Rattus norvegicus: one gene and its partner. The main gene of each other region encodes a partner of the protein of the gene in region 2 in a complex. Links are inferred from orthologs where the notes say so. Each region holds a gene or a part of one and is shown on either strand. Other genes may lie near its edges.

Region 1 (5,949 bases), on a different chromosome or scaffold from region 2:
GGTCAGGACGAGCAGGTGTATGGAGGACGCGGTGTTATCCATGTCTAGATGTATCAAGTCTGACTGTACGTGTTTCTGAGTGAGCTGGGACACACCCGTGTCTGGCAGTGTTTCTTTCTGTGGGTGCTTGAGGGCTGTCTCACCGTGTATGTGTTAAGAGTTAGCCACAGTTCTCCAGCTGTGGGTCAAGACCCCGCATAACCTATTTACATTCACGATTTGTATCTGTAGCAAAATTACTGTTACAAAGTAGCAACGAAATCATCTTATGGCTGGGGGTGACCACAACATGGGGAACTGTATTAAATTTAGGGTCACACTTTTAGGAAGGTTGAGAGCCACTGAGTTAAGGGTGTCTAGTTGTATTCACTGCTTGAGTGTTTTAGAATGCCTGTTCCTTTCTAGGTGTTTCCAAGAGAGAATATGTATCAGAAAGTGTGTATTTGATTGTGTGTGGGTGGTAGGTCTGTGCGTACCTAGCTTTTTCTGGGCTCTATGTGATTCTGTCAGCGCATCCTGTTAGGGTAGTGTCTGTGAGAGCCTTTCTGGGTTAGGTGTTTCTTCTGGAGTTTTCCAGTGTGTTCTGGAAAGGCAGACATTGGTCTCGTCCTCTGTCCAAATGTGTGTGTGAAGGTTTGCTTGTATCAGGAGTACTGGAAGTGCTGACTGGCTGTGATTTCCGGTGTATGTCAGACTGTGTTTCTCTGTGCAAGTGTGTGACCACATTTGAGTGCTTCTCCTTGGGGTTGTCTCTGAGTGTCCAGGTGTATCACGTGGCCTGCCTGTGTCTTCCTAATTAACGAAGGCCCAGATTTCTCTGAGGCTCTGCCTGTCTCTTCCTGAGTATCTCTGTATCCAAGGACTTAATCGTATCTCTTCTGTGTGTCCAGCTGTACTCAAAGGTTGGCTGTGTTCCTTCGTGTGGCTGGCCATCTATCTGCATGTCCCGCATATGTGTCTGTATGTATCCTATTCAAATGTCTTTCTAACTTTCTTTGGGTGTATCTGAGGGTCTAGGCGCCTTTTCACTGTGCAGGTGTTTATGAGGGTCTGCTATTGTTCCTGAGGGTTTCTGGTGTATGCGGGTCTCGCCCTGTCTTCTTTATCTAGTAGAGCTGAGGGCATGGCTGTGTCTCCCCAGGGTATGGGCATTCTTTCCAGGGCCCGAGTTGAATCCTTATGTCCATTGTTGGTTGAGCGTGGGAGAGGCTGCCCCTGCTACAAGGACCACGCTCCCACCCCCACCTGCCTGCAACCTGGGCACTTTGACCACAGCCTCTTCAACTGATACCCCTTTCCCTGTGGACTGTCCCCAGATTGTGAGGCACCTCTGAAGAAGGAGGGTGGCCTCCCGGAAGGGCCAGTCCTTGAGGCTCTGCTGTGCGCTGAGACTGGAGAGAAGAAAGTGGAGTTGAAGGAGGAGGAGACCATTATGGACTGTCAGGTAGGAGCCCCCTCCCTGGCTGCAGGTGCGCTGTCACCACTATGCCTTCCTGCTCTGAGATGCCCGGCTCCACAGGGCCTTTGGGGACCCTACAGCCCCATTCTCCCAGAACACCTCTGCTTGTAGAAGGCTCCCTGACTTGCTCTCCCACCCCACCTGCAGCACATCAGTGCCCCCACCTTCTTGACCCCCCAATCTCCCTTCTACTGGGCCCAGAAACAGCAGTTGCTGGAGTTTCCGCATGATCTCGAGGTAGAAGACTTGGAGGAAGACATTCCCAGGAGGAAGAACAGGGCCAAAGGAAAGGTATCTTCCAGAAGCTTCTCCCTCCCACCTCCTCCCCAGAGCTATGTGAAGGAGTAGAGGGTTTTGCACCCATTCTTATGGGTGAGGAAATGGAAACTCAGTGGATTATAACAATTTCAAAATTGGAGCTTGTGGATCAGAACTGTCTTGCAGACCTGGGTGTGGCAGCCCACACTTGTAATCCCAGTACCTGGGAGGCTGAGGCAGGAGAATTGCTCCAAGTTTGGGAGAAGTGAATCCCAGGCTATTCTGAACTCCATAAAGAGACCATGTGCAAAAAGAAAAAAAAAATCCTAAACCAAACCAGCCACCCAGACAACAACAGCAACACACACACAAACACACACACAAACATGTATGCACACATACGAACACGTACAAACACGTATGCATAACCACATGTGGATATACACACATACAAACACATGGACAAATATACACTCCACATACACACATAAACACACATATACATGCACACCACACACACAAGTGCACCTGCATATACGAACATATACACACATATACCATGCATATACACCACATATACAGACACATATGCAAATACACATTTACTACATGCACACAATCAAACATACACACACACAACACACACATACACACATACACACACACCCTCCATTATGAGCAGTAAAAAAGTGTTAGAACACACCTTTAATTCCAACACTGGAGAGGCTGAGGCAAGAGGACCTCTGTGAGTTCAAGGCCAACCTGATCTGTATAGCGAGTTCTCGGACAGCAAGGACTGTGTGGAGAGACTCTGTCTCAAAACAACACCAAAAAGAACTATCTAATAGGTGTACTGCGAGAAGTTCAAAGGCTCACAGCTAGAAAATGTGCCTGGTTTTAATGGGGAGACTTCATTATTGCTGTGTGGCTCTGCGATGGCACCCAGAGTCTCATACTCCCATGACACCTGCTCTGTCACTGAGCCACACCCCTAGTACTAAGAAAATTTTAACTTTTTTCTTCAGTTTGAATTTTCAAGTCTAAATGAAGAAACCCACTAAGGCATGGTAGCACATACCCGTAACCCAGAGGCAGGAGGATCACTGCATGTTTAAGGCCAGTCTGATCGACAGAGTGAATTCCAGGTCAGGCAGGGCTACACCATGAGACTCTGTCTAAAGCAACGACAGCAACGACAAGGACAAACTCAAAAGCCCCAGGAATGATGAGCCTTTCCCTGGTTTCCTGGCTTCCTTACTCCTAACCCTCCTCCCTACAGGCGTATGGCATTGGAGGTCTCCGGAAACGCCAGGACAACGCATCCTTGGAGGACCGAGACAAGCCGTACGTCTGTGATAGTGAGTTCTGCCGAGGGGAAAGAGAGAGGGGGTGTGGGACCCAGGGACTCTCCCTTTTGGCCCTTGGCAGAGCAGGGGGGTGTGATCCTGGAGACCCGGGGTGGAGGAGGTGGCCCTGGAGTCTGACAACCACCTGCTCACTTCCCCTCCAGTCTGTGGGAAGAGGTATAAGAACCGGCCAGGGCTTAGCTACCACTACACCCACACCCACCTGGCTGAGGAGGAGGGGGAGGAGCACACTGAGCGCCACGCCCTGCCTTTCCACCGGAAAAACAACCATAAACGTGAGTTGTGAGTTGGAGGGTCAAGGCTGGTGGGTGAGGTGCGAGGGGTGGGGCGGGGGCGGTGGAGACTGGTAGTGTCTGGGGAGGTGGAGGCACAGTTAGACATTTCTGGAAAAAATCTTCACGGTTCCCTCCCCCACCAATCATAGGGATGCTGGCTCTAGGGTTGCCATGACAACCAACCCCCTCTCTCTCTCTCTCTCTCTCTCTCTCTCTCTCTCTGTCTCTCTCTCTCTCTCTCTCTCTCTCTCTCTCTCTCTGTCTCTCTCACTCTTTCACTCACTCCCTTCCCGGGTTTATTTCTGGGTCTGATTTATTGTTTCAATTAGAACCTGGAGTGGGGTGGTAGATGATCCCCTCTCTTCCTAGACCTCCCTTGTCTCCTCTGCTATGCTAGGGTCCAGGGGCAAGGTCCCCAGGGTCCTTGATACCCACTCATGGCTGTTCCATGCCATGACAACTGAACCATGGGGGGAGGGGGCCTAGCTCACCTGTCCCTCAAAGACAGCTTCTACAAATCCACAGGCCTGACCCAGAACCTTCTGTGCTATAACAATGTCCTCCTGATTAGGCGTTGCAGAACTGCGGGCTAAGCGTTGGCCTAGGCAAGCTTACCTGGGGGGTGCAAACACACGATGGTGGCAGCAGCCATGGGTTCTTGCTAAGGTTATGTCTATCCTCACACTTTTACCCAAATAGAGAAAACATACCCAAATAGAATCCTAAGAGTTAGGGTTCTGGTGAGCATTCCTTGTCCCTCCCCCAGCTTTCTTGCTACTTCCCAGTGCCTGGGCCAAGGGTCCGCCCCTGGGGCTGAGGCTGGGGACAGATGGGACCTTGCCTATGGTAAGAGCCCCTTTCTGTCCCCCTACCCCCAGAGTTTTACAAAGAATTGGCCTGGGTCCCCGAGGCACAGAGGAAACACACAGGTAGGGGCACCTCCCTCCTCCCCGACTTCTGCAGTAGTCTTTGACTGGCACGCCTCACCTGTCCTGTGCCCACCGCTGCCTGCTGTCTTTCAGCCAAGAAAGCACCAGATGGCACTGTCATCCCCAATGGCTACTGTGACTTTTGCCTGGGGGGCTCCAAGAAGACTGGATGTCCTGAGGACCTCATCTCCTGTGCGGACTGCGGGCGATCAGGTGAAACTCACTACGTATTTCTGGAAGATCGGAGGCGGGAGGAGGACATCTCAGAATCTGAATTTAGGGAGTGGGAGGCAGGCGAGTAAGGGGCTGTCCCTAGCCTGTCCTAGGGGCTGCCTCTGCTGCAGGGGTTTGTGACAGACTGAGCAGGCTTGCTGGCACAGTGGGAACCAACAGTACAAGGTGCCCTGGCTTTGTGCTTTCCCGGCAAGGAGAGTAGAGAGAAGCTAGGGAGGCATTGTGGGTAGGGGACGGAGGTGTGGGAGCAATTGCACCACCTGGGTGCTGTGAATAGCAGGATTGTGTGCTGTAGAACTGTGGTTAATACAGTGTGGTTTTCCATGGAGGCCTCCTGGGTAGTAAGGCTGGTCACTTGAGCAGCGTGGATGATGGACTGTGGCTGTGATGTGCTGTGGGCAGAGTGCTGTGGCTACTGGCGTCTGGCTCTGAGAGATGTAGTTGTAACCGTTGGGTGCTGTGGGCAGTGGCTACAGGTGCCTTCGCGCCGTGGGAGAATGGCTGAGCCGATTCACACCGCGAGTGTTGTCAGAGGAAGTTCGTTTGCTGGTGCCTGGTGCGGGATGGCCTTTGGTTTTCAGAGAAGCAAGGTGTGGGGACCCTGTTGTGGAACTCAGTTGCCATAGCATCCTGGTTGGCAGAGGTCGGCTGCCACGTTGCTGTGGTTAACAGGAGGGCTGGACGCTCTGCTGTGGGTATTGGAATGTGGCTGCCTAGCGCAATACTTAACAGACTGTGGTGGCCGCGGTGTTGTGGGTGGTAGAACGTGGTTGCCACAGCACTGTGGGTAATGGAATGTGGTTGCCATGGTGTTCTGGGGAGCAGAGTGTGGTTGTCATGGTGGCTGAGTAGGAGACTGTGGTGGCCAACACACGGCTGCTTGCCCGACAGTCGAGCTTCCGGATGTTGGTCTCAGGGTTAGGGTCCCACTGCAGAGCTCACCTTGACCTCTGGGTCGGGGCTGAGGATAGAGCCATTACCTCCCCACGTGTCAGTAGCCACCAGAGGTACAACGACTCCGCTAACGGCCTCCCTGCCCCTCAACCCCCAGGACATCCCTCGTGTTTACAGTTCACGGTGAACATGACCGCAGCCGTGCGGACCTACCGCTGGCAGTGTATCGAATGCAAGTCCTGCAGCCTGTGTGGCACCTCGGAGAATGACGTGAGTGCCCGCCCCACCTCCCGGGCACATCCCCAGCTTCCCTTCCGGCCTGGCTCTGCCACCTTTGCTCGTGAAGCCTAAAGCCTTCCTTGTTCATAACCCCTGGGTGACCAGCATTAGCATGCATTACGGTCACCATCGTCCCTAGTGTTCCTTTGTCATATTCTTCCCCTTGATGCCTCCCAGCCTCCCTTGAGGCTGGTGCTCTGGTTCCCACTACACAGAGACGATACTGAGCTCAGAGAGGGAGAATGACGCCTGAG
Region 2 (5,949 bases):
GCAGAAGAGATGAGCAGAGACAGCTGCTGGCTATGGGTGGAGACCTTAGGGGTAAGCAGTGTAAGAGGAGAAAGGAAGCCTGGGAGTTAGGGTTAAGGCTTCTTAGTCTGGGGGCAAGATGAGGGCGTGCGTGCCTGCCTGCGTGCCTGCGTGCTCGAGGGCGCATGCGCATGGTCTTCAGTAGCCCAAGCTGGCCTCAAATTCACTATATATCAGTACTTGACTTCCTGCCTCCACCTCAATATTGGGATTACAAGTGTGTGCTATCATGTGCAGTTTATTTGATACTGGGGATCGAACCCAGGTCTCCACATGTGTTGCACAAGCCCTGTACCAAGCTACATCCCTAGCCTGAGATGGGGGTGTTTAAATAGGGTTTTCATACCTCTCTCCCTAATACCCTTCCTGTTCTTCTGAACTCGTCCCACCTCCTGACTAGTCCCAAAACCTCAGCCCCCTTCCTGGGCTTGGACAAGTGAAATCTGTAACACTTCACTCACATTGGCATCTCCTCTGTTTTGATTGACTGAGTAGAGGTGGTGGCCGGGGAAAATCAATCTGCCTCATTTCCCTCCAATTTCTACCCTTCCTGGGATTGGGTGGGGAATGGGTTGACTCTTATGTGATCAGATGGGAGAGGGAATGAATGCTGCTACAGATGCTGCTTCCTTCAACCGTCCCTGCACTGGCAGCCCACTTCTAGTCCAGTTCCCCACTTGCCACTAGGCAGAGTCTGATGACACCAGACCCTCAGGTGCCCTTGCCTCTTGTATCACCTTGGGAGAAATGACATTAAAGAGGCAGGCTAAGTCGGTGGGTGTGGAGACCTGGAGTTAGCTGAACCAGTTATGTTTGAGATTGAGGTGCCAAAGCCGGGGGCTCTGAAAGGGAGATGGGGGCTCAAGTACAAAGCACATCAGCCCCAGAAGTGGGGTGTGGAAATTGGGAAATGAGAAATGAGGACAGGAAATCAGCCCCTCACCGCAGCGAAGCAGCGGGGAGCAGGGCCGGTCAGGTGCTGCCTTTGCCGGGAAGAGCAGGGTGACCTTGGCGAGGTCGCTTTTTTCTTTGAGCCCCAGTTGCCCCATCTGTCAAGTGGGGATGAAAAGACCTGCTCTGACTGGCTCGCAGAGAGCCGTACGGATATGAACATCCTTTGAAAGGTTGAAAGGCGCCATTAATATTCATTTTTGGGGTACCTTGCACGGCTCCGAGACTCGGCTATGCTCTGGGCAATTGCCTGGCTTCAGTTAGCTTCATGCTAGGAGACGCCAAGCCCCCTCCTCCAGAGCCGCGCAGATCCCCGCGCCCCCGCCCCTCCCACCAATCACTCCCACTCATCGCTCAGCGCAGGGTTACCAGCCCAGGGTCTTGGAGAAGGGCGGGAGCGCAAGCACGCTGGCCTGGGGGTCGGGACCAAATCTGACCTGCCCGCGCCGGTTTCTGCTTCACCTCCCGCCCCACCCCCGCCAGCGCCCCGGGATGCCGTCTGGAGCCCGAATGCCCCACCAGGGGGCGCCCATGGGCCCCCCGGGCTCCCCGTACATGGGCAGCCCCGCGGTACGACCCGGCCTGGCCCCCGCGGGCATGGAGCCCGCCCGCAAGCGAGCAGCGCCCCCGCCCGGGCAGAGCCAGGCACAAGGCCAGGGCCAGCCGGTGCCCACCGCCCCAGCGCGGAGCCGCAGGTGAGTGCCCCCTAACATCCCCCCCCCCGCGTGAAAGGGCGTGCAGGGGCGGGCAGGCAGAAGCCTCAGGGACCAGGTGGGTGAGTGGTGGGGATGGGAAGCTAAGGAAAGATGTTAGGGATGTTAGCAGCGACGAAGTCATTGTAGCTTGGATATTCTCTGGGGAGGGCTTAGGGGGCACTGGTCTGGTTCTTTTGTGTGCCCACAGTGAAGAAGGGCTGCGATAGTCGGCTGCCAGTGTCCCTTCTCTGAACGCACCCTTCATTCTTCTGCTTGTCACCTCCTAAATCCTTTCCCCCATTCTTTACCCCAAGTTCTGAGAGATGCTTCAGTCTTTGGGGAGAGGCAGGGCTGGCAATAGACCAAGGGTTGAGTTTTAGCTGTGTGTTTTCTTAAAATGTAGTCCTCTGGTGGCTCCTGGCTACCTCTGGGCCAGTCCAAAGTCCCGGGCTGCGTCAGAGCCCCTCTAGATTTCCGTAGTCCTCAGCCTTGGCAGTGGGCATGAAGAGGCGCTATAACCTCTCTGAGGGAGCAGTTCTGCCCCCAAGCCACCGGAGCAGCTTATTTCCTTGTCTGAGAAGTTGGTGGCACTCCCATGGTCCCTGCTGGCTCTTGGCAAGAGTAAGGCCTCTATGGGCATCAGTATTTATCCAAACACACATGCTTCCTTTTGCACAACAGATGGGTTCTTATACAAGGTGTAATGTCAATTCTACTTCATTATTAAATAGTTTTTACACATCAAGGAAAATCAGAGGCACCCCATAATAAATTCTTTTACAAAGTGAATCATTATCTTGTATAACAAGTCATTCTCTGATTTTTATGTGTAAGTTAAGAGTTTTGTATGGATAATTTATTTGAAATAAATCAATCCTTTCATGAAATGCTTACCCAGCCTAAGAATGGGTTGGTTTTTCTTTAATGAGTTGCTTGCCTGGGCATAGAATGGATTTCTGGATTGAGAGGGGGCAGTGAGTGAGAATGCCACATGGGGGCAGTGTAGAGCTATCGTCTAGGCTGTGTGTTCTCTCTTGGCCAGCCAAGGGGTTTTCTGCCTTGCTTTTGAAACTGAGAATCATCCAATACCAGGTGCTGTCTACCCTGGGTTCAGCCACATTGGTTCCAGTGCTAAGTCACACTCACATAGAACACTCCTGCACACTTCCAGGGTCCTTGTGGTGTGCCCCTTGGTTGGCAGATGGTCCAAGACCACAAGCATCTCCTTCTCCTGCCTTTAAACAGTCCCTTCCAAGCCCAGAGCCACAGGAGTGCCAAGTCCCACCAGCTTCATTCCATGACAGCTCAGGAGCTCCAGGAACTAAGTGGAGGAGTCACCTCTCCCCTTCTTGGAGCTCTGGCTCTCTTGGGCGTGTGTCTCCTGCTTGGCAGGAGAGGGTCCTCAGAAGCTCTCTTCTCTTCCCTCCATCTTCCCCACCTCCAGGCTTTTTGCAAACACTTCTGCAATCCCCATCTTTTGACAGCATCTTCTCTTTCACTAGTTCCTTCTAAGTCTGAGTTTCTCTGGCTCTGAGGACGTGATGAGATATAAGGTGGGGGTTAGGGGGTGCCAAGCAAGAGAAAGGACCAGTCATCCTGCCTTCCAGGGGAGTACCAGCTCCACGTCGCTGCTGTAGCCCTCAGACAGGCAGACAAGCAGGCTGTGGGAACCCCAGCCAGCGGGCGGAGATGTCGGGATAATTTAGCAGGTGGCCTCGTTACTCCCAGATCTGTCGCCATGGTAACCTGGTTTTTTCTTTTAAAAATGTACAGTGCCAAGAGGAGGAAGATGGCTGACAAAATCCTCCCTCAAAGGGTGAGTGCCTTTCACAGCAGCCCCCAGCCAGCCCCCACCCTTTGCTACTCCACCCTCCCCTCCTCCCTTAGGAGCAAAGCTTTGGGCTCAGCGTCACAGCCACTTTCACTTTTTGTTTTAAAAGCTCATTAAGAAGTGAGGTTCCCTTCACGAGAGGGTGGGGCTGGGCTGGGGGAAGGAGCTGGAGAGCCATGGAGGGAGGAGGGGCAGAACAGAGGGCCTGAGGTTAAGGGGGTTGAATACCAGTGGTTCAAAGGCATAGAGGCACTGCACAAAGAAGAGACGGGAAACTGCTAGGTGAAGGGAACGGAAAGTGTAGCAGGAGGAGCAGCAGGTGTGGAGCTCCTGAGGCCACCTACACTACCTCCCAACTCTCTGGGATACCCAGAATCCCTTAGCACTTCTCAGGGACCCAGGGTGTCTTCTGTATGAGTCGGGGTGATGGGATGAAGCTAGGCACTTGCACCTGCTGGGCTGCCAGTTGCTGCTGCTTCCCAGTGATGAGATGCATGAGTTTTCCTGGAGGGAGAAGCAATTTTTATCCACACACAATGAGGCTATATAATAGCGTCCGGGGGACAAGCCCTATCTTCACTCTCAGGACTCCGCAGCCTGAAATCAATTGGACAGCTCCCTCTGTGTCCTTTGTGTCCTGTAGTCACACAACAGGCATGCATTCTGCACTGCAAGATGGACTGGGCCCGGCTTCCACTTTGTTCCTCTTTCAGATTCGGGAGCTGGTCCCTGAGTCCCAGGCTTACATGGACCTCCTAGCATTTGAGAGGAAACTGGATCAAACCATTATGCGGAAGCGGGTGGACATCCAGGAGGCCCTGAAGAGGCCCATGAAGGTGCCTTAGTGTGGGAGTGGGAGTAGGAATAGGGCTCTAAGTGCCCTGTCCAGTAGGAGGAAGCAGGGTGCCCCGGGTTGGTGCACACAGCCCTTGTCCTGTACTACACTTTATTTCTACAGCAAAAGCGAAAGCTGCGCCTTTATATCTCCAATACTTTTAACCCCGCGAAGCCCGATGCCGAAGATTCTGATGGCAGCATTGCCTCCTGGGAGCTGCGGGTGGAGGGGAAGCTCTTGGATGATGTACGTCCTGGCCCAGGTCTCTCCAGGTGTCCTGGGGTGGGTATGGGTTGAGTCAAGGACTGAAGTAAATGTCTGCACTAGGAACTGGGAGTCAGCCTGGGCTGGGGAGGGTGGGCCTGGGGACAGTCTGGGGACAGAGGGCTGCCTCTGAGCATACTGCTTGCCTGCCGCCAACTTGGCCCATTCTGTGTCCGTGGTCCCTGTTCTGCCCCCACAGTCCCTGTCACTTTCCCACAGCCCAGTAAGCAGAAGAGGAAGTTTTCTTCCTTCTTCAAGAGTTTGGTCATTGAGTTGGACAAAGACCTTTATGGCCCAGACAACCACCTTGTTGAGGTAAGACAGATTGCCGCTGCCCGTGAATCACAACCTTCCCATCAGCCCTGGAGCAGCTGCAGATTTGGATTGAGGACCATCCTAAAGCCCTAGGCTCTACCAACCCAGATGAGTCTGTGGGTGACCTAGCTCTTCCCCCTGGACAGTGGCACCGGACACCCACAACCCAGGAGACAGATGGGTTCCAAGTGAAGAGACCAGGGGACTTGAGTGTGCGCTGTACCCTGCTCCTGATGCTGGACTATCAGGTTGGTTTTACTCCGTGCCTGCATGCCACACACAGACCCTACTCTCCTTCCTACTCACTTTCTCTAGGGGCATGCTGCCAAGGACCCTAACCTCCACGCCCCATTCTCTATTTCTCCCCTCAATCTCATTTTCCTGGTAACCTTTTCCCAGCCTCCCCAGTTCAAACTGGACCCCCGCTTGGCCCGGCTGCTGGGGTTGCATACGCAGAGCCGCTCAGCCATTGTCCAGGCACTGTGGCAGTACGTGAAGACCAACAGGCTACAGGACTCCCATGACAAGGAATACATCAATGGAGACAAGTATTTCCAGCAGGTAACATGTCCTTAGCCTCAGGATCTGGGGATCAGGGATGGTATCCTAGCAGAAGCACCTCCCTAAGGTAGCTATCTCCTTTTGCTGAGTTCCTGAATAACAGGAATGGTTAGGGCCATGGCCTTGGAGCCAAGAACAGGGTCTTGTCCAGGCTCTTCCTGGATGATCTATTCAGCTGCACCCCAAGGGAAGCAAATGTGGGGCCCTACTAGGGGAGGGGAGGGCACAGCATCCTGCAATGTAACCTTCTTGGTACTTGGAGCTGGGATCTCTGAGGTGCCGCCAGTCTTGGGTCTAGACTTGGGGTCACTTACTTTGCTATCCCTTCTGCCTCTTGGTCTGCTTCTGAAATGAGGGGTGGTGGGAGGTGTGCCATCACATGTGTTTGGCAGCTAGGAAAAACGACATTGCTGAAAGCTGACCCGACAGGTCTAGCAGAGTAGAGCATTGCTATTAAT

What was found. The genes of interacting proteins can lie anywhere in the genome.
Region 1: Smarcd3 (region 2) and Dpf1 share a complex: the UniProt entries of both Homo sapiens proteins name them as parts of the neuron-specific chromatin remodeling complex. The link is inferred for Rattus norvegicus from reciprocal best matches to the Homo sapiens genes SMARCD3 and DPF1.

What each region holds. Positions count from the first base shown.
Region 1 is NC_086019.1:93,735,816-93,741,764, forward strand, and holds part of Dpf1 (zinc finger protein neuro-d4), read left to right. Parts: intron 1-1,316; coding exon 1,317-1,444; intron 1,445-1,606; coding exon of another isoform or gene 1,607-1,660; coding exon 1,661-1,750; intron 1,751-2,996; coding exon 2,997-3,075; intron 3,076-3,227; coding exon 3,228-3,359; intron 3,360-4,237; coding exon 4,238-4,288; intron 4,289-4,381; coding exon 4,382-4,501; intron 4,502-5,573; coding exon 5,574-5,686; intron 5,687-5,949. UniProt on the Homo sapiens protein: May have an important role in developing neurons by participating in regulation of cell survival, possibly as a neurospecific transcription factor. Belongs to the neuron-specific chromatin remodeling complex (nBAF complex).
Region 2 is NC_086022.1:11,464,938-11,470,886, forward strand, and holds part of Smarcd3 (SWI/SNF-related matrix-associated actin-dependent regulator of chromatin subfamily D member 3), read left to right. Parts: intron 1-1,473; coding exon 1,474-1,685; intron 1,686-3,458; coding exon 3,459-3,501; intron 3,502-4,229; coding exon 4,230-4,352; intron 4,353-4,474; coding exon 4,475-4,597; coding exon of another isoform or gene 4,598-4,633; intron 4,634-4,814; coding exon of another isoform or gene 4,815-4,834; coding exon 4,835-4,930; intron 4,931-5,076; coding exon 5,077-5,178; intron 5,179-5,329; coding exon 5,330-5,491; intron 5,492-5,949. UniProt on the Homo sapiens protein: Involved in transcriptional activation and repression of select genes by chromatin remodeling (alteration of DNA-nucleosome topology).